Linked DNA regions of Neurospora crassa OR74A. The protein of the gene in region 1 purifies or fractionates together with the protein of each later gene. This does not show direct contact. Links are inferred from orthologs where the notes say so. Each region holds a gene or a part of one and is shown in the gene's direction. Other genes may lie near its edges.

What was found. Proteins that work in one complex are often made in the same cells at the same time.
Region 2: the proteins of NCU03047 (region 1) and NCU11012 purify together in Saccharomyces cerevisiae (affinity purification with mass spectrometry; 3 studies listed by BioGRID, with this or other methods). This does not show direct contact. The link is inferred for Neurospora crassa OR74A from reciprocal best matches to the Saccharomyces cerevisiae genes TFG2 and RPO26.
Region 3: the proteins of NCU03047 (region 1) and NCU02661 purify together in Saccharomyces cerevisiae (affinity purification with mass spectrometry; 4 studies listed by BioGRID, with this or other methods). This does not show direct contact. The link is inferred for Neurospora crassa OR74A from reciprocal best matches to the Saccharomyces cerevisiae genes TFG2 and RPB7.

The regions. Positions count from the first base shown.
Region 1 is NC_026501.1:8,297,223-8,304,923, forward strand, and holds NCU03047 (hypothetical protein), read left to right. Parts: upstream 1-3,563; 5' UTR 3,564-3,696; coding exon 3,697-3,924; intron 3,925-3,992; coding exon 3,993-4,257; intron 4,258-4,315; coding exon 4,316-4,500; intron 4,501-4,556; coding exon 4,557-4,916; 3' UTR 4,917-5,271; downstream 5,272-7,701. Other genes in the region: NCU03048 (CCCH zinc finger protein), read right to left, coding at 1,060-1,598, 1,699-1,754, 1,806-1,914, 1,972-2,593; NCU11240 (hypothetical protein), read left to right, coding at 5,508-6,416; NCU16461 (hypothetical protein), read left to right, coding at 6,999-7,511. UniProt on the Saccharomyces cerevisiae protein: TFIIF is a general transcription initiation factor that binds to RNA polymerase II.
Region 2 is NC_026503.1:2,363,037-2,370,537, forward strand, and holds NCU11012 (DNA-directed RNA polymerase I), read left to right. Parts: upstream 1-4,133; 5' UTR 4,134-4,436; coding exon 4,437-4,480; intron 4,481-4,584; coding exon 4,585-4,866; intron 4,867-4,939; coding exon 4,940-5,059; intron 5,060-5,114; coding exon 5,115-5,151; 3' UTR 5,152-5,682; downstream 5,683-7,501. Other genes in the region: NCU00037 (polyadenylation factor subunit 2), read left to right, coding at 1-1,340; NCU00038 (C2H2 transcription factor), read right to left, coding at 2,152-2,206, 2,332-3,695; NCU00039 (hypothetical protein), read right to left, coding at 5,722-7,013, 7,086-7,501. UniProt on the Saccharomyces cerevisiae protein: DNA-dependent RNA polymerases catalyze the transcription of DNA into RNA using the four ribonucleoside triphosphates as substrates.
Region 3 is NC_026501.1:3,096,704-3,104,865, forward strand, and holds NCU02661 (DNA-directed RNA polymerase II polypeptide), read left to right. Parts: upstream 1-4,198; 5' UTR 4,199-4,771; coding exon 4,772-5,020; intron 5,021-5,088; coding exon 5,089-5,169; intron 5,170-5,247; coding exon 5,248-5,417; intron 5,418-5,482; coding exon 5,483-5,498; 3' UTR 5,499-6,343; downstream 6,344-8,162. Other genes in the region: NCU02659 (hypothetical protein), read right to left, coding at 535-1,016, 1,243-1,291; NCU02660 (DUF962 domain-containing protein), read right to left, coding at 2,517-2,972, 3,044-3,127, 3,276-3,308. UniProt on the Saccharomyces cerevisiae protein: DNA-dependent RNA polymerase catalyzes the transcription of DNA into RNA using the four ribonucleoside triphosphates as substrates. Component of RNA polymerase II which synthesizes mRNA precursors and many functional non-coding RNAs.

The DNA.
Region 1 (7,701 bases):
TTCTCTGTATATATACATTTCATCAAACATACCATGAGCCGAAACTTACCACTTCCTACCCCTCACAATCAAATACCCCTGGTCGGACTCAGGACGGTTCGGTAACGGCTTTGCTCAACCGAACCGCACGGCGGCCGCAGGCCTTCGATCTGCGTCATGGACTAGTGCTTTGTGCAAGGGTCTTGGTCTGGGTTTCATTACATCCGCGCCATCTGAGTGGTTGTAGTTGTGAATCCGAGAACGTAGTATATATATAAAACTGCTTTAGTTGCCTAAACCCCAGTGCTCCTTAGTCCCTTACTGACTATCCACAGGAGTGCGGGAGAGGAGGTGGGAGTTAGGTATAGAAAGATCATGAGACTAGTAGTATTATGGAATGTGGGACATCTGCAGGTGCTGATCTATATACGTGTACGGCATTAAGGGGTCATAAGAGGAGTGATTACATGGATTTTGGATAGTGTAAGCGGCGAGTTACTTCTAAACAGAAATCCGGATGCCCAAGAGAAGGGCATCCCGTCGCTAAACTCTCGTTAGGCAGCGGTGAATTCATACGAGTATAATTTAGCGGAGAGCATATGGGGTTAAGGTTGCGAATGCGGGGTGATTGATCTATGATACTCCGGGCCCGAGTGAAGAAGGAATGGCAGTGATGGTGTGGCTATTGAGCTCTCGGCAGACTAACTCTCAGCAGCCATTGGATGAACAGGATAACATTTTGCGGTACCTGCTTGGAGCTTGCCGCAGCACATCAAGGTCGACGTTCACCACAGGCCAATCATTGTAATCATGCACCAAGTGCGGTCATGCACTCCTATATCTATAATAAATTGCCTAGTCTTGGCTGTTCTTCAGAGTGACATCTTCTTTTCTCTCTTTTTTTTCCTTTTGCTTTTCTCTTCCTCCTTTTTTTACTTTTATTATCCTCCTATACCCACTGCCAACCCGGAAAGTGTAACGGGTTGCGCTACAGAAAACAGAAACATCAAAGGGTATCAATAAGCCAGCAAGGCTTAGGAAAAACCAAGGACCAAAACAAACGAGCCAGGACTGCACTAATCAAAACTTGATGAAGTCCTTTTGCTCGGCGAAATCCAAGTCAGGATCGTCGTCCTGGCCAACAAACTCGTCAACGTCGTCCGAGTCGATATCGTCGCTATCGACTGAATCGTCGTCGCTGGATAGATCCTCCATCTCCGCGTCGTCGCGGGCATTGACCCTGCGCAAGACGCTTGCCCTCTCCCGGTGCGGCAGTTTACAGCCCTTGGTATTACACACGCCAGTGTTGCTGAAGTCGGGACATTCGAAAACATGGCGGTTGATGCAGCTTGCACCCTTCTCGCAGTAGCCGTAGAGGCCAAATTCTCGGCAGACCGAGGCAGCTGGAGACACCTTTGCGTGAGTGAATTTGCAGTCAGGTTTGGTGCAACTGTCCTTAATGAAGTGCAAGCACGTGGGGGTGCGTTCCGCGGAGAGTTCGTGCGAAAGATCGCAAGAGTCACCGTTGATGCATTCTTCTTGTTGGAGAAAGTCCTTGCAAATGGCAACCTTGGCTGGGTCGTGGATATATCGGCACCGAGGGCCTTTGGTGCATGAACCTGCGGGGGATGTCAGTATAAACATCGTTTGGACTTACCAGACCCAGTCATTTCGACGTGGTGTCGGTTAAGGTTCCGAAATCTGAAAAGTTGGAGTTACCGGTCATGGAGAAATTGCGACAAGGCACGTTGACCTTCTTGAAAGCGCCGGATTGCCTATCGCAAACTAGAATTAGCGGATGATTCAAAAGGGACCGGGCCACATACCGCTGCGCTTTAACAATACCATGGCGGTACAAATTCCCGTTCTTGCTGCGGTAGAACTTGACACCGCCTACGATAGCCATTTTCGGGGTCGGCCCTGAGTTGAGATCGCCTGTGAAAGGGTGAGTATTCGGCACATCCAGCACTTCTGGCCGCGGTTTCGACGCACCGGGAATCTTGACAAGTTTGCTTCCGTTCTTCGTAACGGCAAAACGTATACCCTGCACGGTTAGTTCATATTGGTTTGGTGCCGCTGCCGACCGATCGCCAGCACGGTGTAGATGGTTGATCAACTTGGTTCGTTCCAGATCATCTCTCTGCTGTTGCTTCTGGCGCAGAGTTTGCTCAATGGCCCGAGTGCGAGCCTGCGCTTCCTTATGATAGATGGACGAATTGATGATTTGAAGGTGACGGTCGTTCTTTGCTACCCAGGACGACGGGGACGAGTCGAGCGCGGCGCCTGAACTGGGCGGACCTGCTTTACCTTGTTGAGACGCGCCGTTCAGCACCAAGGTCCTGTGACGGTGGGCAGGCTTGGTGTAATGGGCGCGGGTCGGGTATGGGTAGCCTCCTCTTTGATGACGCCAGCTTCCAGAATAACCTGAGTCTTCAAGACCGTCAATACCAGCACGGTTGCTGTTATGATACTCCACGGACGTACGGTGATGCGGTGGTGCGTGGCTGCTCTGCGGCGGAACAAGGCCTGCTTGTTGATTTTTGTGCTGGTTGATCTGACCGGCCACACGGGCAATCCTCTCCATCAGCTCGTGTTCCTCGGCAGACATTGTCATCTTGTTATCTTTTTGTTCGAATCCAAGAGCCAATACAAGTAGCTGTTGCTGCAATTTCAATATTAAAAGCGTATCGGTATATTGCGGTCACGTTCCACGATCAAGCAGTACCGGTCTTTGTCGGTTATTTAGATTGAAGAAAATATGATAAAGGTCGCGATGTTGCTGGTGCCGTTTGTTCGATGCGATAAGGTAACGTTGTTGTTGGGATGATTGTGGCGGCGCGCAAAACAGAGGATGATGGGTGCAAGAAGGATTTTGGTTCGGATGTTCAAGGACGGCGGCGAACTGCCAGTGATCTTTTGAGGGGGGATGCGCCAGAGGTCAGCCAATCACAAACGGCCAAGGTCGCTATCAGAGAAAGAAGGCCATGGAGTTAAGTAAGTAATGCGTCAACCAGTCAGGGCACGACCAACCAGGCAGGACCTGAACATTGGGAAGCTATGCTGTGCACATATGATAGTATGGACACTACCTACGTCGAGGAAAGCAGTTTATGCAAGATACCAAGCCTCAATGCCCCGTGGTGAGCTCACATTTCCTCCTAATCAGCTACCATCGGCTTGTTTCCAAAAAGACCCAAGGCACTCTTCATACCTTACTTCCACTTCTGTTCCTTTCTTTACGCCCAAAAAAATAACGCCGGATACAAACAAGAACGCTCCCGTAGACAGCCATACTGCAACCTATGAGACTCCAAGTTTGAACTGCCCTCAGAGAAATCCAAAACCACAGGCGCCTTCACCAGACTGAAGTCAACCTTTAACTGAAAGATGTATGCAGGATCCTAGGTACAGCTAAGTACTTGCCACCAGAGACCCCACTAGCCGCTCCGCTTGCGGGAGAGCGGGTCGCGCTAGGATCAGGTAGCGGCTTACATAATAGTATACAGGTACGTATCCAAGGTTCAACGGTCTTTGTCCTGACGTTGACGTTCGCGGCTGCTTTCAACCAGGCAACCTCTCTACAACAACAACGACCACGACAATCACGCCCCAACTTTCCGTCCACGCTACCACAAGACGCCGACAACCAGCGAACGAAAGGCCATTTTACGCACATATTAATATTTGCTAGTCTTGTCACAGCGACCAACTCCAATCATGGCCGATCCAATGAGAATTAAGCCTGACCCGGACGCAGCCTTCGCCGAAGACGAGCTTGACGAATCAGCCGACTTGGGATTCTATGATCCTAATGATTTTCCCTTGAAAAACGCTTATCTGGCTCGCCTTCCGGGGTATGTCTGGCAAGCATGGGCTTCGCTTCCCGATGATGCTGAGATTCAGATTGGCAAAGTTCGTCGAATTGTGCAAGATGGTCAACCGGAGGTCAGTAGCAGCACTCCCTGACGAGCACTACGTTTTCAATAGGTTACTGAGACTGTTTGGGCTTTCAGAAGCTACAAATTCTCCTCGACGATCTTCCACAACACTACGATATTCCCAAGGAATACAACCTCGACATGGTGGATGCCAACGTCAACAACACCTTCATCTTTGGTGAACATGATCACCCAAGTTATGCCGCCAAGAACAAGGAGCGGGCTGAGGCTCTAGCTCAGGGCATACCTGCACACCTTGTGCGCCAGCAGATGAAGCAGTCGGAGCCACCTCAGGAGCGCGGAAAGAAGGGACAGCAGTACACCAAGAAGGCCATCCCGAGTTCGTTACACCCAATCTCAACTGGCCTGCCTTGATAGGTGCTAACTTAAGAGTTCAGAACAAACGGCGATTGCAGCAACAATCAAGCGTGAGGTTGTCGCCACTCCTTTGGAAAATCCCGAGACAGACTATGCGCTTGCTGCCCGAGGCCAGAAGCAGACGGCTCCCAAACATACAGTACAGGTCCTGGATCGTCTGCCACCCAATGGTATCACGGATCCCAAGGGTTGGGAAACATTTCTGGTGCGTGTACTTGAAGACATATCACCACTAGAGCTTTCACTAATAGCAAACAATAGCGCACGACCGAGGCTCCGAGCAAGGCCAAGAAGATGGACAACAAGACAGCTCGCTGGCCAGAGAACCAGCTGCTCGACGAGCTCGCCAAATGCTTCTCCGTCTACATGTACTGGTCCATCAAGGCGCTGCGCTCTCGGATTCCTCAGCCCGAGGCGTTCATTCGAGAGTGCTTGGACAAGATTGCCGTTATTCACCGAACTGGTACTTTTGCAAACCACTGGTCTCTCAAACCGGAATACCAAAGTATGATTTCTGATAAGGACCTGCCGGCACCAACCAACGAAGCGGCTCCCAAACCCGAAATCGCATCTGAGGACGAGGACGACGACGATATCAAGATGGAGGACGTCCTGTTTTAAGATGACAGGACTGAGCGCTGTCATGATGGATGCGATCTTCCTTCTGACTCATTCACTTACTTTGCGTCAGGCGTTTAGAGTAGACTGGGTTTGCTGCGTTTTTCCTTTGCTCGCAAGACGAGCGGTCTTTCAAGACCATGCTCATACAATGATACCCGTTGCATCAATGAACAAGAGTCGGTTTTCCAGTTTGGGTTATTTGTTCCTTTAATTGCGTCAAAGCGTTGCAGTCGTTGGTTATGCAAAGGCTCTTACATTACAAGTGTTAGTCACAATGCGTGACGTTGGTACAACTCTTTGGGCGATCCTTTGGTCAACAACATTATCCATAAATGAAGTGGGGCCCTATGTCAATCATTCCCGATTCTTACTGGCCAAGAAATGCTATGGCTACTGGTGCTTTCCTTCTTGTCCTGGCTACAATTCACCTGGAGTTTCCATTACCTACTTACCTCCACCCACCTTCGGGATAGCACAACTTGAACCCTAAATAAAGCCACATTCATTCTGATCCGAGCCAACCTCCTTTCAAGTTCAATGCCTTTCTGGAAACCCGCTCATCAAAGCATAACCCGCAACCTTACCAAAAGAATGGCTCGCTTTATAGTCTTTGACTTCGACGGTACCGTTACCCAGCAAGACACTATCAACGTGCTCGCTCAATTTGCCATCTCGTCTCGCGGTTGCGCCTACTCTCAACAAAGTGCTTCCGAAAACTGGAAACGGATAGTCGACCTATACCTCGCCGACTACGCAAAGCATAAAGAGTTATACGTCCCCAAAGCCGAGTATAGAAAACTATTAGCGCAGGAGCTGGCGTACCTAGAGAGCTTGCAAACCGTTGAACTGTCTAGTGCGGAGAGAGTTGTTAATACAGGGTTCTTTGCCAGGTTGACAAGTGAGCAGTGGGAAGAGTTTGGGAGACAGGCTCGACGGATTGGCGAGGAATGGAATCCCGACTGGGACGGGGATGAAGGGAAAGCAGTGAGGGTGAGAAAGGGATTTTCGGAGTTTGTGCAACAAGCTAAGGCGAGGGGAGACAAATTGGGGCTAGTGAGCGTGAACTGGTCCAGGTCGTTCGTTGAAGGGGTGATAGAACCTGAAGATCCGGACCGGAGTGAGTTTGTTAAGAGGGTTAACGAGATTAAGTGGCCTGGCGGACAGCTGGAAGGACCGGAGGAAATGGGCGGGAAGGTGATGATGACTGCTAAGGATAAACTTGAGGGGTTTGAGACGATGCTGCTGGAAGAGGCAGCCGGGGAGAGCAAAAAGCGTAAAAGCGTGTACTTTGGCGACTCGGTGACGGATCTGGAGTGTTTGTTGAGAGCGGATACAGGGATCGTTGTGGTAAATGAGGGTGAGGAGGAGCAGAGCACGTTATTGGGGACCCTAAAGAGGCTGGGCTTTGAGGTGCCGCATGTGTCGGAGGGTCGGGAAGGCATAAAGTTGGCATGGGCAAGAGATTTCAAGGAGGTTTTAGGAAACAGTATTATGGGTTGACTTCAAGCTTGATAATTGGGTGTATATCTGTTGAATGCGATGAAAGCCACAGGTATTCATGCCCTCCCTTAGTCCATGGTTCTTAGACTACGGTACCAATGACAAGTCGGAACTTCTTTCATGTCTATCATCCAATGTATTTGAACCACAAAGCCAAGGAAAGTCAATGATAGGATTTGCCCATAGGATCTTGATGTTTGATCAAAAGCAGACCTTGGAACTTATTACATGTGTGTTTGTCTCTAATTTTCGTTGTCCTCATTTCTCTGACCAATCAATGGCACCACTAGTGTTGACAATACAAAGTCTTTGTCCGCAAACATGTCACAACTGATTTTCTGCTATGTTCAGAACATGATCTCAGATAACAATACTGTTGGTTTGCTTTTGTCTTGTGCTGAAACATTGAACCAGACTCTCATTCCATCAGCACGGAATGAATAACATTATAAGCAGCGATGTCCACCGCCAATACCATGTGTGCCAAACATCATCATGTTTCTGATACCAGTACTTATCCTTCACTACGTGCCATCCCTTTGTCCAAACTAATATCAGACAACAACACAACACCTACTAGATATGTGTATCCATCATCGTCTCATCTACCGCAAATGCGGCCACTTCACCTGGCTAGGCATAACAAAGAAGTGCCAGTCAGAACGCAACTTCGACCAAGGCAAGATCGACGAAGGCTGCAATGTCATGTGGACGCATCCGCTTTCAACATACCGAGTTGACAGGTGTTGCGAGAGTTGCGCCCTCGAAAGAGCAACAACGGATAGAGCTATTGATGAAATCAGAGGGAGGATCCAGTTGACTAGAGAGTTGCTAGCCAAGATCCAGGACCTACGGGAGGCTTCTTCTGGGGTTCAAGAGCGTGGCTGGAGTGATGGGGGGGTTGAGTCTGCTGCCTCAATGAACAGGGGAAGTATCGTGAAGGTGGGAGTTGTCGACGACTGTGGGGGTGACGGTGATGTCGAGGAGGCAGAAACCATGGATCTTATCGATCCTAATGAAGTGATCAAGGTGAGTCAAGCTCATTTCCGAAATATGATGGAGTTGGTGAGGGAGCATGCCTCTAGTTCGGAGTGAAGTCCTAAATGATCTTGGATGAGGTTCCCTTTACCATGGTTATTCCTGGTCCTCATAACGAGAGTGAGCCTGTAACAGACTGGTAGTAACAATTCGCGTAGAAAAACGAACAGTTTGTTGGCGGCATTAGCATCGGCCTTCAACCTCTCAAATCTCCAAATCCACCGAAAAAGCGATTGGAAAGGAAGCT
Region 2 (7,501 bases), on another chromosome or scaffold:
TGACTCTGACAGGGCACGGATGGGACGCAAAGAGTTGCGATTGGCATCCCAGCAGAGGCCTGATTGTCTCTGGTTCGAAAGATCATCTGGTCAAGCTGTGGGATCCAAGGACGGGTAGATGCCTGACCACGCTTCATGGGCACAAAAACACCATCACCAAAACGCTCTTCGAGAGAGTACAGGGAAACTGTTTGGCAACATCAGCTAGAGATCAGACAGCTCGCGTGTTCGACCTTCGAATGATGCGAGACATCGCCCTCCTCAGGGGCCACGAAAAGGACATATCGACATTGACGTGGCACCCAGTCCACTCCAACCTCCTAAGCACCGGCGGCTCGGACGGCTCGCTATTCCACTACCTCTTGGACGAGCCGAACACCGCGCCCGACGGCTCAGTCATGCCGATCCCGGCAGTTTACGACACCGCCGATCCTTCGTCCGCACCTGCCCAACCCATCTACCCAGCCCACAAGATCCCCTATGCCCACGACTTCGCCATCTGGTCGCTCGACTGGCACCCGCTCGGCCACATCCTCGCCTCGGGATCCAACGATCGCATCACACGTTTCTGGTCTCGCGCAAGACCTGGCGAGGCTCCCGAGTCCTTCAACGACCGGTATCACATCGGCGAGGCAGCAGCCGAAGCTCAAGGCACCTGGGATCGCCGCGGCGGCCGTCACATGCGGCAAGTCGAGGAGGAGCAGGAGCTGGAGGACGAGATGGACGGCCTGGTGGATCAAAAGATGCCCATCAAGGGGCAGCCCGGCGTTGGCGGCGGCGGAATGATGCCTGGTCTTTCCTTCCCCAGCATTCCCGGCCTTCCTCTCCAGCAGGTTCCCAGCTCTGGCCCTGGCGGCAGCGGTTTTATACCGCCACCACCCATCATCCCCGGCGTCGGCGGTGCCACCGGTGTCCCGCCTCCTCTCCCCTTCCCTATCCCCGGCATGCCCGGTCTGCCTGCCGGTGTCGTCCCGCCGCCCCTTCCGGGTTTAGATCTGAAGAACCCGCCCGACTTTAGCGCGCTCGCTGAAATGATGAAGAAGGCCGGTTATCAACCGCCGCCGCCGCCAGGCTCGGCTGGCGCACCGATGCCCCCTCCCGGCATCCTGCCCCCTGGCCTAATCCCCCCGCCGGGCGCGGCGGGCTTCCCTATGCCCCCTCCTGGGTTTGCGCCTCCGCCGCTGATTCCTGGTGCTGGTGGTCCGCCGGGAGGAGCCACTCACCCCGATGGTGGGAATGATCAGTATGATTCGTCAGGGAGGAGACGCGCGCCGTTGCCTAGTCAGGAGGAGAGTCTTAGGATGGAGCAGAGCAAGGGCAATTATACGCGCGTGAGATAGGATAGAGATTGTGGAGGAGACAAATTTTGCTTTTGATATATTTGCTTTTGTTAGCCATGCTGCACAAAGTCAATGGGGGTGGTGCTTGATCACATAATGCTGAGAACTTTTCTTCCGGGCAGTGTATGTGTCGGGAAATCAAGTGTGGCGGTAGTCCTGGAATGACACATGAAGAAGGAAATCATAGGGTGAGAGAAACATCCAAAGGGACAAGAAAAGAATATTACGATAAGACTACTATATGTTCGTGAATGATAGCGAACAAGGGAGTCTTGCTGAGAGCACGGTGAGTTAACCACAACCGGTATTATATGTCTACTCCGTCCAAACGCCGTAACCGTACAAGTAAGCCATCTCCATTCCTCCACGCGGTCTACATACTGTCAAAGCCACATAACAAAAGGGTATCAATATTTCCGTGAACCTTCCCATCTTTTTTCCGTTTTGTTTTCAGCAATGCAACATCATACAGTCGACAATTCCCCCATTGTGAACCATGAACCCGTATTACTGCATCATCTATGCTCTAGCAAACTGCGGGTCCGAACCCTCACCATCTTGGCCCATCAACAGCTGCATGTCGGCAGCCCAGTCTTCAAAGACAGGCGACTGGTGTTGCAGTGAGAACGGATCTCCATGATCACTAAGCCAGAAAGGCGCAGCGCCGAGATTTCCGCCATCGCTAACTGGAGCATTCGTGAATTGCTCCATTTGAGGGGGAGGGGTAGCGCCAGCTGAGGTGAATGCGGAGTGGACATCTCCTTGCTGATGCTGGGGTTCTAGACTAGGATCGATGACATATCCTAAGTCGTCAACGCTCAAGTTGGCAGCACTCGGAAATGGTACCATAGCTGCCTGTTCCTCGCCTGTATGCAATTGAGGTAGGAGCAGCAACTGTTGCTCCTCTTCTTTGATACCATTGTTGCCATGGTCATTTTGGATATGTCTATCCAGATCAGCATGACGGATGAAGCGAGCGGTGCATCCGTACGCAGGGCAAGCAAGGTCACGAGTGTCCAGCAAAGCCTGTTGAGCTTGCTGAGCCTGGGCGACCATGGAAGGGACGGGATACAGCTTGGGTGGACGCTTCTTCCCAAGATGAACATGAAGAACATGCTCCTCCAGCTTGACCCTGGTGGTAAATCCCTGGCCACAACCCTCTTCCGCGAAGTTCCAGTCCGCAATCTCCGAAACCTTGGCATCGTAAGTATCGGTCTGTCCGCAGACGAAACGATGGCCTTCATGGGCAGACTTGATGTGCGTGTTGAGATTGGAGACACGCGTGAACTTTTTGTCACAGCCCTCCCACGTGCAAGCAATCGTCTTTCGATCTTCGACTGTCTTGGCTGAGTGGTAGAGCTCAACGTGACGCATCATGTTGCTTTGTGTACCGCATCTGACACCGCAGAAGGCGCAGTTGTTGTGCTCCTTCTTCATATGGGCTTGAAGCAGCAGCATCGTGGTAAATCCAACACGGCGACCTCCACTGTCATCACCCTCTCCTTCAGCGTTGCATTCGTCGCACCAAAACTTCAGGTCACCGTGCTCGCGCTCTACGTGCCTTCGCAAGGCACTTGCAGTGTCGAAGCCGGCGTCACACCCGTCGTTACCGCATGGATATGCCGACTTGCCTAGATGAACGGTTCGGATGTGTCTCTGGAGCGTTTGGTGCTTGCGGAAGCTCTGGACACAGTCCCCATAGCCGCGGCAGCGGTAGCGATCGGCGCCCTCGTGAACCAGAGCATGGCGGCGAAGTCGTGTATTAGTGACAAAGGACTTTCCGCAACCGGGCTCGGGGCATGTGTACTTTCGATCGTTGGTATGAGATCCCTTGATGTGCTGGGAGAGGTGCTTCTCTTCGAGGTAGTCTTTGTCGCAGTCATCGTAGGGGCACTTGAACGGGCGATCGTTTGTGTGAGATCGGAGGTGGGCAGCCAGACGAGCAGGGCGGTTGAAGGTCTTGGTGCAACCGGCGAATGTGCACCTGATGGTCTTGAGATCGGAGGGGAAGCGGCGTGAAGCACGAGTCGTGGTAGTGTTGATACTAGTTGCTGCTACCGTAGTCGTCGGATCGGCGTGGGTAAGGGAGGTGTTGGCAACCGAGGCAACAGAGGCCGAGTCAGGGTCGAGTTCGAGGCTGTCGTTGCCGTTGCCATCAGAAGCTGCCGCCTCTGCGCCAGCAGGTGGCGATCGCGATTGCGAGGGTAGGGCCGGTGCCTCGAGCTGCTCTACTTGTGAGAGTTCCTCCTCCTGCTGCTGCTGGACCCAATCAGTAGCTCTTTTCTTGGATTGGACTTGAGCATGGTCGGGGCCGTCATGGCCATCAAGGCGCTCGTCGTCCTGTTTCCGCTTCATTTTGAGGCCTGGAGTAGCAGCACTGGTCGCCGTGGCCTGCTACCCTGGACTTGGTTGGAGCTTCGACATTGGAGAGAGGGAGCTCCACGCTTTTTGGGAAATTCGCTTGGATGGATTTTTTTTTTGGAGGTTCACATTTGTGACGGAACCTTTGCATTGCACCTGCCGATTGGACTTTTCGTCCGGGGTGGGTGTCCCTGCCGCTTCAAAAAGTTTATCTGACGTTTTCCGGTTCCAGCACCGGCAGGCAATTTTACGAGCGAGTGAAATTCGGGGGACCTGGAGGAAGGGAACCCATGAAGAAGCTGATGGCCCATCCATTGGCCCCACCCCTGTGACCCACTTCTCTGGTGTCACGTGCATTGGGCATTCTTAGCCTATTTAAGTTAGCTAGGTGGGGGCTTCTCAGATCCCTCCCCTCTTCTACTCTTTAGACTACTTTGGACGAATGAGACATCATCACTTCTTACCCCCCATGTCTCTTTAAGGTTTTATGTCTTGGCACGGCTCAGCCTTGCATAAAGTAGCGGCCCCACTCGAATTTTCTGTCGTCCTTTTGTCAGCCCTTCGCCCTTCCCTCACCACCTTGCGCATCCACGGTCGGCCAAACACGTCCAGTCTTCCACATCCACGCGTTTTGGGCAATACCATTTTGTCCACATACCTACCTCTACTTGTGCAGCTGCAGCCCATATCTTATTATCCTTACCATCAATCAACTCCTAAACAAACCCACCAAAAATGTCCGACTACGGTGACCACGGTGACGATGATCGCGAGCCTATGTAGGTTTCCAACGCCACCTACCCACCTAGTCCTTGGCATCAACCTCTACACATGATACCGCAACTCATGCGTAACGCAAGAGATGCTAACACGTAGCCGCCAGCGACGAGCCCGCCTTCGATGAGGACCCGGATGAGTACTACGAGCCCGAACCCGAGCCCGCGGACGACGACGTAGCGGGCAGACCCGGCGACGAAGTCGACGAGGCCGAAAACGATAACAACATAGTCACTTCGGGTGACCCTAACGCGGCCGCCAACGCTGGCAAGGGCAACGAGAAATCCCACAAGGACAAGAAGATTCCCAACGACCAGCGTTCCACGACACCTTACATGACCAAGTACGAGAAAGCTCGTATCCTCGGCACACGTGCTCTGCAAATCAGGTGGGTTTCCTCATCGGTGGCGCTTGGACGACTGTAGGGACGGATTTGGGCTGACAAGGAACCACCTTTGTAGCATGAACGCGCCAGTGCTGGTTGATCTCGAGGGTGAGACGGATCCTCTTCAAATCGCCATCAAGGAGCTGCGCGAGAAGAAGATTCCTCTGATTGTCCGTCGTTACATGCCTGATGGATAGTAAGTTGTCCTTTTCCCGGCACCTAGCCGAATACCCGCTAACATCCCTACGTAGCTACGAGGACTGGACCTGCGAGGAGCTCCTGCAGTAAACGGAAACCTACAAGACCCGTCAGGGGTAATAGGGGCGACCCAGTCTTTGGTCAGAAAATACACAAAATTGCATTAGCGAGGGCGTTCAGGTTGAAGTTTTATACATCATATTTGATCATTTTGGGACGGTTGGACTCGATCCAAAGGGCAACAACAAGAGCACAATGTGCTCCTCGAGTTGAATAAAGGGCCCATTCAAAAATTCACGTGCGTCTGATCAGTCATTGTCCTGTACGTTCGTGCTATTGTTCAACAGGCCTGGGCATATGAGGTATCAAGAGCCTTGTTTACGCCGCACTTTTCATGCTGATATCTGCTTAGATTTCCTGTCGCTATTTGATAGCGAATATTCAGATCAATTAGTATGTCAATTATACAGAAAAGGAATAGAGTATAACACTCATACAAAATTACCTACTTGAGAATCGAAGAACAGCGTTCGTGTCAAGCTTACCGCCATCCCTATCACCACGCATGTCCAGCAACATCCTTATGAACACCAGTTCTCCCAAGCTTCCCTTCCTTTCCTTCTGCGTCCCAGCACCACACACGGCTCAGCAGTCAGCACCTCACCAAGGCCCCGTCCCCCAAACCTTACACTTCGCTCCCGCATTCTTCCCCCAATTCGCCAACGTACAATCCGCATACTGCTCCTTACACTTCAGCACCGCCCCCGCGTACGAGGTCGAATCATCCTTGCCGTACTTTCCTTCCTTGCACCCCTTGGCGTACACATCCACACAATCATCGTACTGCTCCTGGCACGCATCCAGACAGGCTGTCGAGAACGACGAGCGAGCGTATGACTTGCACTTGCTCGAGTCCGAGTCCGTGTACAGCTTGAAGGGGTGACCGGACGAGAAAGAGGAGAGAAGGTCGTTGCAGGTTACTACGGGGAGAGGGATCCCGCCTACGGGGGGTTTGTTGCTTTTGGGGGGGTTGCAGAGGGAGGTGGATGTTGGGATTGGGCATTTGGTGCCGGTGGTGGTGGTGCTGGTTGTGAATGTGGCCGCTTTGGTGGACGTTGGAACGGAAGTAGATGTCGGCTTGCCAGTGCTAACAGGGAGACAAGGAACCGTAATCACCGTCGTTGTCGGAACACCAGGTCCGGTAAGGGAGGGCGACGAAGGCGGCTTGTGATTCCAGAAATCCTTCTTGGAGCAGATGCCCCCCGGTTTGCTTGATCCCTTGCAGTAGGTGCTCAGGGCCGAGCACCACTCGGCAAAACCGAAGCAGTCGAGCGCCCCCGGCCATCCGGCTTGCTTGAAACAGGCGGATACTTGGAGGAAGCAGTTGGCGTGGCTGGGGAAGCAGGATTGGGGGGAGTCCCAGTCCGGCAAAGGGGAGGAACACCATTTGCCGCACTTGTACTCGCAGGTGGGCGGGAGAGTGACTGTTTCTTTGCAGATGGAGGAGGAGGAGGTGGTGGTGGTGGTGGTGGACGTGGTTGTTAAGGTAGTGGTAGGGGGTGGCGAAGTGGTGGTGGCTAGGGTGGTGGCTAGGGTGGTGGAAGTGATGGAAGTGGTGGAAGTGGTGGTGGTTGAGCTGAGGACATAAGAAGTAGTAGTCGAAGAGGGTACGTCAGAAGTCGTCGCCGTCGAGCTGGTTATGTCGGAGGTAGATTGCGAAGAAGCAACTGGAGTTGTTGATGAGGATGCTGTGACGGAAGAGCTGCTACTACTTTCTGGGGGAGGCACGTAACCACAAGGTTCGAGTGACTGAAGCTCGTTGGCGACGTAGAGGTTGAGACGAGCACGTCCGCCGCAAATCTGCGTGGAGTTTCCGTTGCAAGGGATATCGCACTCGCTATCAGGGGCGGAGAAGGTTCCGTTGCCTATGACAACACCGCACCAACACTCGCCTAGGGGTGGGTTAGGAAGTCAGCATCCAGTGCTCTCATTCACACCACATCAAGTAACAAGTTGCTACTTACCGCCAAACTCAGTCCCGGCAAACGGATACCCCCCATCCCGACAAGCTTGCAAGCACTTCTCCGTCGTCAAGGTAGACCCTTCAAGCTGATCCTGGGGATAAGCCAACGCCCTTCCGTACTCGGAATCATCAGTCCAACATCCCAAATGGTCATAATCCGCAACCGTGACCTCATCAACCGGCAAGAAAGTGGGATCCTGGTAGACGGATATGATATCAGTGCCTCCACAGACCTGCGAGGAGTTGCCGGTGCAAGGGTAGTTGCATTGCTCCTCGTCAATCTGCTGGCCGCTGACGGTGTTGCCGCAGTAGCACACGCCGTAGTACTCTAGACCTGCGTAACGAAAGCCATTACCCTTGCAGACAGAGACGCATTTCTCGATGGTCATGTCCTGCTGGTTGAGCTGGCTGCGCAGG
Region 3 (8,162 bases), about 5.2 Mb from region 1:
ATAGCGACGGCGTCGGGGAAGAAGATACAAGTTTGGCTCACCGAAAAAGAATGGGATGGGGTACGGAAGCAAAGCAATAATGATCTATATGTTCTTTTCCCACTTGACTACCAAAGCCCTTAAAACAGTATTCCTAACGCAAGGTCACCGCCTGTAACATTCACGTCCTCGGTCCTTCGCACCTCCAAGGTCGCAGATCTCGAACATTGCCTGACAGGAAACGCCGTAACGCCATGGGATATGCGGTATTCCAACAGCCAGCCACCCTCCAACTTTTATCGTCGTATCATCGTGATTTCGTCCGTAAAGCCAAAAAAAAAAAATCCACCTCGTACTCTCCTCCGCGAGGCATCGATTCTCCATCTCTCCTTTTCAAGAGTGATCGTCTTCTTCATAGTCATCATCCAAGATATCTCCACCATCATCTTGATCTTCCATCGCTGCCTGCCCTTTCCGCTTCACCCTGACGCCCTCCCCTTATCCACCCTTGCCTCTTCCTTGCTATCCAACAACATATCTCCCGCTGCTTCTCGTTTAAGCGCGATCATACTTAGCATGACCCCTCGCCTTATCCTGCGCCTCATACCTCTGCCACTCGGTCATGAAGAAATTCCAAATGCCCAGTCCATACCCGCTCGCCCTGCCCAGCCAGAACGTCGCATCCCTCGCGCTCTGCTCCACTCCGCGCCTGTACACCCAGCTTGCGACCGCCGCCATGCCCGCCCAGAACACCAGCGTGAACGCAAGCCTGGTGAAAAACATGAGCACCCGTCGCATCCAGCTCAGAACCTGCAGCACCATGACCAGCAGCAACAGCACGCCGGCGAGAATGACCACGTCGGGGGAGGCGTAGATGTATGCCGTTAGCCGCTCGACAAGCGGCTGCATGATCGGGATGAGAGTGGAGATGAAGGCTTCGATTGTTGACATTATGTGCCGCTTGAGAGATTGGATGGCGGAGTCGGGCGAGAGGAGGTGCTGACGGGCGAGGGAGAGGTAGGGGTCTGGGAGGACGCCTATGATGAGAAGAAGAAGAAGAGGATGGTAGGTTAGCGGACGGGATGCATCACAGAAAGAGGGAGGAAGGTGACGGGTTTTATGATGAGGTAAAAGCAAAAGATGTCCACGTCAAAGTGTGAATCGCAACGTGGCGCTTTGGGCTCTTTTGCATTCTTTTTGGGCTGGCATGCTGGTGAAGACTGGGGAAGTTCGGGGAGTGCGACAGGTTGGCGCAAGACTTACCAGTAAGAAGCTGGAGAGCCCATTCGATGGGGAGGTTGAACGGATCCATAGTGTTTGACGATGATCTAGCCGTGGCCTGTAGAGATTGGTGGGTAGTCGCGCGAAGCAAGGAGGTCTTATATAAAATTCTGGTGAGGAAGCAAGCGAAGATGTGAAATGCGATTTGCGATTGCGGTATCTGTTGTGTTGTTTTGGAAGGGAAACGTGGTGGGGTAGTTGTGGTGCGAAGTGAAAAAGAACCAGTGGAGCGACGGCGATGTTAGCGATTCCGTGGAGGCGGGGGGGCTTTATCTTATCAACTGACCAGGCAACGGAGTGTGGGGGCTTGGGTCACCGTTTGGGTTGTTCTCACTGCACCCTCTTCTTGTCATCTCTCACCAGGCTGCCCGAGATGGCGGCAACAGCGTTTGAAGCCCAACTGACAATGAAGGCAACACTTCACTCCAGGTGGGGCTTGGATACTACGTGTACACCTCTAACGGGAGCATTGCAGTTGTGGGAGAACCTTTGAATCTAATTGTGGCCTTCCTCGCTCAGCTCTTCGAGGTGGCTTGTGACGGAATGTAATTCCGATGATTTTCCTTATTCGATCTAGGTTGTACGCTCTTTGGGGTGGACGGGAGGCACTTGGCAGTCCTCCCTCACATTGCATGAACCGCAGCCTGGCAAAGCAGTAATGATACAAAGCAGCCGCATTGGTCTCTTGGTTGAAAATCAATGACCACCATCTCTAGTGACCGTCTACCATGAGTACTTCGTCATAACTCCCGTTCATCTTCTGCTTCTCATGAATGACTTCGACGTGGGGGACTTTCTGCTCTAATTGACCTTAATTTGACGTGTTATAGGTCTCTAGAATCTCAATCGGTTAGACAGCCGATATCAGCTTGTCAAGTTCAGTGATCCTTCTGGCCATTTATTATTATTCTCTAATGTACAGTAAAAGTGAGTCCATAGACTATCAAAACTCCCGTTTGGGATCAGACGCTAACAACCTCAGCAGCGATTCCACATCTCAATCATTGAACCGCGTGTTTGACAAGCAAGTCTTGCGCTACAAGACCGTGATAAAGACGCGGGCCAGTTCAAATCCCGCTCAAACATCGTCCACGATATCATTAACCTCAGAGTCGAGTCACAGCTGCTCATGCCTGTCGTTGACATCGTTGCATGACATCTCTACCCCTGAACCCGCCCCTGACATAAATCCAACTCGTCACCTCGGGGTTCTCTCCTAATCTGGCAGCTGGACGGTAAAGGATGCCGAATTTCCCTTACTGCGCCTTCTTCGCGTTCCTGCTCTCCCGGAATTTGGCAATCTCGACCGCCACCGCCTTATCCACGCGCGTCTTGAGCTCCGGGCGGTAGCCCAGCATGAACAAGAGTTCAAGCCAGACAAACAGCGGAGCGAGGAAGATGGCTTGGAAGAGGTTGTCCAGGAGGGCAGGGGCACGGCCCTCAAATTTGCCGTGGCCGAGGAACTGCGCCAGCCAGCTCACAATGTGAACGACAATGGCAACCTTGGTGGTCAAGACTGGGTCGGCAATGCGAAGATAGTTGGTGAAGGCGCAAGCACCGAGGCAGATGAGCGCCAATGCGGTGCCGGCGACCGGCTCGAGGAGAACGTATAGTCCGCCCCATGTCAGAGCCGCAAAGGTGCCCAGGTTTGGCTCTAGGTACGGTACCTGAAGCCAGGAGGGGAGTGTGAAGAATGGTCCATAATTGGAGGCCTAGTTTGGAAGCATGAGGCGTGTGAGAACATGTCGCTAGGGACGAGGGAAAGTGGTTCAAGAATTCATACAATTTCAAAGGCTGAGAAGAGGATTAAAGGCACACAAATCATGTGGATGACTACATTAACGTGATTAGAGTGGTAAGCACCATACTGCAAGCAGGGAGAGGACAAGTTAGCAAAAGGCTCCAGTTCGTGAATTTCGAGCGAGGTGAAGTGGACGAAACAAGCAAGGGTGCCCGAGCAGGCCGACTTGGAGCATGTAGGTTAGAGCTTGGTAAACTCAGGCAACAAAGCTTACAAAGGTGAGTTGCTTTTCTAGGTTGAGGGACATGGTGAAAGTGATGCTTCGGATTTGCCCGGTATGATTAGGTTGGTGCTGTAGACAGCCTTGAGGTTCAGGGTGTGAATGGATGGCGAGATCTCGCTCAGTTCCGTGAGACCCGAGACAGGAGAGCGACAGTAGATGACAAGTCGAGTTGCGTCGAGGGCGACCAGTGAAGAGAGGAAATGAATCACTGCCACATGTGTATAAACGAGCAACAGGTGGAATTGGTAGTGTTCGAAAAGCAGAGCGTGCAGCTAATGAAGACCAGAGAGCGGCGGGATCTGGTGATGTGGGAGTCTGTCTGGTGTTCCACTCCGCATATCCATCTTCATATTCTCAGAGGGCTAAAAGCTACGTGTGGATGCCTCGGTTGTGGAGTCGCCATCAACAGGAACAAGGGAACCTGTTAAGGCTCCCGGCCGGCCCACCCCCGCAAACCCTCCAACTCGACGGCCACAGCGCTATCAAACGCATGCTGACAGGACCCGAACGTGCCCCGCCTCTGTCGGTGCTCCTACCGACGCGGTTACCTCTCGGTCAACGAACGTTAACGTCACAACCTAAAGTGGAAGGCCAACAGCTGTGGTGTAAGAAAGGTGATCAATCGTGAGTTACCCGTTTCAAGTCTTGTTTATGAGCGTTCTCATCTTTTGGCTTCTCGAACCACCATACTGTCTTTGCTGTGGCCATTCGAATCTTCCTTCTTAGACATCATTCGACAGTCTGTCTTTGTCACATGTTGAAACGGCATGAGCCATGGTACCTTTACTCGAGCTTACAGCTACATGAACGACTAAGGAACGCTGGGGGCTGGTAGAAGACACACTCCCTTAAGAAAAACCCGCTACATGATAGTACAGCAGATTATTTCACAAGCCTTACAACGAGCATCTTATGCCTGGTCTGGTTGAATGATATGATGGAATTGGGATATTTGGTGTTGAAGTTGTGGACAACACCGAATCCCGGCAGCGCCAAGACCGCTTCCGTGTGGTCAGTGCTGTTCCTTGCAGATTGTGCACGAGCCATGTGCTAAACGTCAAGGGACGAGTGACAGGCCAAGCTCGCAAGGCAAAGTCCCGAAACCGCGTCTGCGGCGGTCTCTGTGTTGGAGGCTACCACTTCCAGAACCTCCAAGCTTTTGTTCCATCATAGTCGATATCTAGTGTATTCCGTCAGCCTTGCTCTCCCGTCACGACGTCTCCCCACAAAACCAAGTATCACCTTCGACACGATCCCTACACCAACATTCTTGCTGTCGATTTTCGCATCTCGCCCTCACTGTCATTTTCGTCCCGACACGCGACTTCAATTGCCCAAGTCTCGACAGCACTGCCGCCGCCGTCGCACCCCTCGACACGACAGCCGCGCGAAGGCATCCCGAGGCGCATAACCTCTCCAGGGCATCGTCTTATCGACGCCCACTTTCAGCCGACGACACCCCGATCCCACAGTACTAACCCGCCACAATGTTTTTCCTCCATAACCTCGAGCGGCGGGTTACCCTGCATCCATCCTATTTCGGCAGGAACATGCACGAACTTGTCACGACCAAATTGGTCAAGGACGTGGAAGGGACGTGTGCCGGTGATTACTACATCATTGCCATCATGGATGCGTTCGACGTTAGCGAGGGCCGCATCCTCCCCGGAAACGGCCTGGCCGAGTTCACTGTGAAGTACCGTGCTGTGGTTTGGAGGCCGTTCAAAGGCGAAGTGGTTCGTTACAGCGAAGATTCTCGGTGGTGTTCTCTCCGTTCGGATGGTCTAACGAGGAGTCCCTACAGGTGGATGCTATTGTCTTTTCCATCAATCCTCACGGCTTCTTCTGCCAAGCTGGCCCGCTCTCCATCTTCGTTTCATCTCACGTACGATGACGCCTACGGTCTTTTTGGATACGCACATACGATGCCCTCGAACTTCGATCGCTGACAAGAGAACTATAGCTGATGCCCGAAGAAATCCACTTCGACCCCAACGCGACGCCTCCTCAGTTTACCAATAACGCTGATATGGTCATTGAGCCCGGTACGCACGTGCGCGTCAAGATTGGTGGCTTAAGAACGGAATTGGGTGAGATGTATGCCATTGGCAGCATCAACGGAGATTTCCTTGGGTGAGTTTCCACGTCTTAGCGGCGTGGTTGTGCTGTTTGTTATTAACCAGTTTCTTCCTTTCCAGGTGTCTGCAAGCATAAGGGACTTGCAAGATGCAAGAAGGTCATTCCCAAACGAAGGGTTTGGACTCGCTCAACTACTACGAGGTACTCGCTCAACAGAATCCTAGTGAAGCCACGAGTTAGAGTATACCCTGGGTTTACATCAACAGTTCTGGTCGGCTGATGAAGCCTCTGGCCCGGTCAAGAAGCAAGTCTTCTGGGCAATGCTGAAAGCCATCCGTATCGAGGGCCGTTTCAGGATCTCTGTGGCGGTTTATGAAGGATCATGTTTGCCCCTTAGCAGCGCGTGGGCGGCAATATGATCGAGCCCCTTGTTGTATTGCACGCGGGAGTGCGGCGGTAACACGCTCAAGGGCTTTCAAGGAGATGTCTCGTCCGAATGAGACTCAACGGGGTTGGTATTTTTGTCATGATTTGCTTGGGGTGCGTAAAACCTTTGTCTGTGGCGTTTTGAGGCATTATTGGGGCCACAAGCGGCGCCTGGAGTCTATTGACGGTTTTTTCTTTTTGAGGTATTTGCAGCATGCTTTCTGTGTTTGAGCGTGATTACTGGTATTTGGGTAACTGACATTATCGACGTATCTGCGACATGGAGGACATGTCGCTCTTAATACATGGGCACATGATGATGTCTTCAGAGTTTTGCGGGTACAATGCCTCAAGGTTCTCGGGTGCTTGGCTTAGACTGACCAACAAAAAACGACTGTCTGCGATACCACAGAGGGCATCTCGCGCGATTGTACTTAGAGGGAATAATCCTTGTTCAGCTAAGGTGCTCAGTTACCATGAGCAAAGACAGTATAAGAGACACCGCAGCACTCGCTTGGCTCATAAACTCGACTCCCCGGTCTATCTCCTGAACGTCTTGACTAGGAAGCATTCAGTCTCGGGCTATTATACCATGTGATGGTACCCAACGAGGTGGGATGTTGTGATGGCTCAGTTGCCGTGGGGGGAAACCTCCCATTTCAAGCTGACAACTTGGTGCGTGCCCATCTACGATCCTCCCGCAACATTTACAAGGACCTTGAAGCACCATATCTCAATGGTTCCATAATCTTCAACGAAGCGCGGGGGTTACGCAGCAGTGAAGACGTGGGGAAAAGAATAAAACGACAAGGGGGGAGGTTCATCCACTAAGTCGTCGAGTTGATACTATGCAGTAAACGTTTGGCCGGTGACCTGTCCATCGTGAGGCTACGATATCTCTTGACTTTGTGGAAGAATAGTATGGCCGAAATACGTCGGGCGAACTAGAGCAGAAGGGGGTAACAGTGGGGGCCAGATCGGTGTGAAGAAATCCCCAGAATGAAGTAAAGCGGAGGCGAGAAGTTGAATCGGGGTGTGGGCATCAAACACCAAAGAAAGAAGGCCAAAGTTGGAGGAGGATATCTGGACTTGTACCAAGTTGTCATCATATCCATTTGGGGTTGAATCTGCTACCTATGCCGCTGGAGGTTCAGCTATAATCCCATTCCACCGACGCGGAGAGGCTTCCGTGCCGCTCTATTTCATCTCATGTTCCCTCTATCATAGAGGTATCTTTAAACATTGCTGCACTTGCTATGATTGTAATACAATAGGAAAGCCATCGACGTTGTGCTACCATCTCTTTTTGTGTTGTTGAAAAACTTTGGAGGATTCCGTGCCGGCAATGTCTCTTTGGCGCCTTTTAAGCTGTCATTGCTGTCAGGACCCGAAAGGAGGCTGTAGATCATGCTGAGAGGTGGAAGGGAATTGAGAGTCGACTGCCGTGCTCAAGACAAACTTTTAGCACACAAAGTAGGTATGTTCGTCACTGATATTTTTTTTGACCAGTGGTCTAGGGGATCTTGAACACTGCCCGGTGTGATATTTGCATATATCTGGGCATGCACCTACACCCTATACCCTCAACTCCTTGTTTCGGTGTAATCACATCATCCAGGACAGTCAGTGGTACAGTGTCAGTACGTCTTACCCAGCCTAGATCCTGCGTCCCCAACGGGAATAGCCTCAAAACCCCGGCGTAGAGTAGCAATTCGCCATCGATTTCTCCGAGAGGATGGCGCTTTCCCACTCACCCTAGCACTCGCGATTTGCCGTGCTTTTCCATCTGCATTGCCATCGACGACTTGGTCTTCCCTTTCCCCCTCGAATACCCATGCGGGTGTGGGGGTTCGCATTACATGGAGGATAGAGGGTCGATAAAACCCCCATTTAGGCTGCGAAGAAGATGAAGGGCTGAAAACAGAAGAAAACGGGACACCACCTATAAATGGACAGTATATCACACTCGCCTGACCGCAAAGCGAGCTGGAGGGGACATGTATCGAGCAAACCCGCAGCAGCTTGTAAGGGGAGGCACAGCCATTGTCAATCCCGCCAACCAAGGCACGATGTCGTCAAACCCATTCCGATGGTCTTCGGCTTCCGGTTTCAGTTTCCATTTCATTTCTTTCGTTTCCGTTGCTTTTCAACCTCTTCACCCGGCTTCCGCTATTCCATAGAGGTACTGTTGGATTCTTCGTCCATGTAACTGTCTTACCGGTGTGGAGTTATTCCGGAGCCGAAATGGTATTTCAATCGACGTCGGTTTTTCCTGCCATTTATCTATTACCACCTGGATACTTCTTGGGATCGATCCGGGCTCGAACGTGCAAAGTTTTACGCTGGGGAGAGCATTGCGGCGCCGGCGATGTT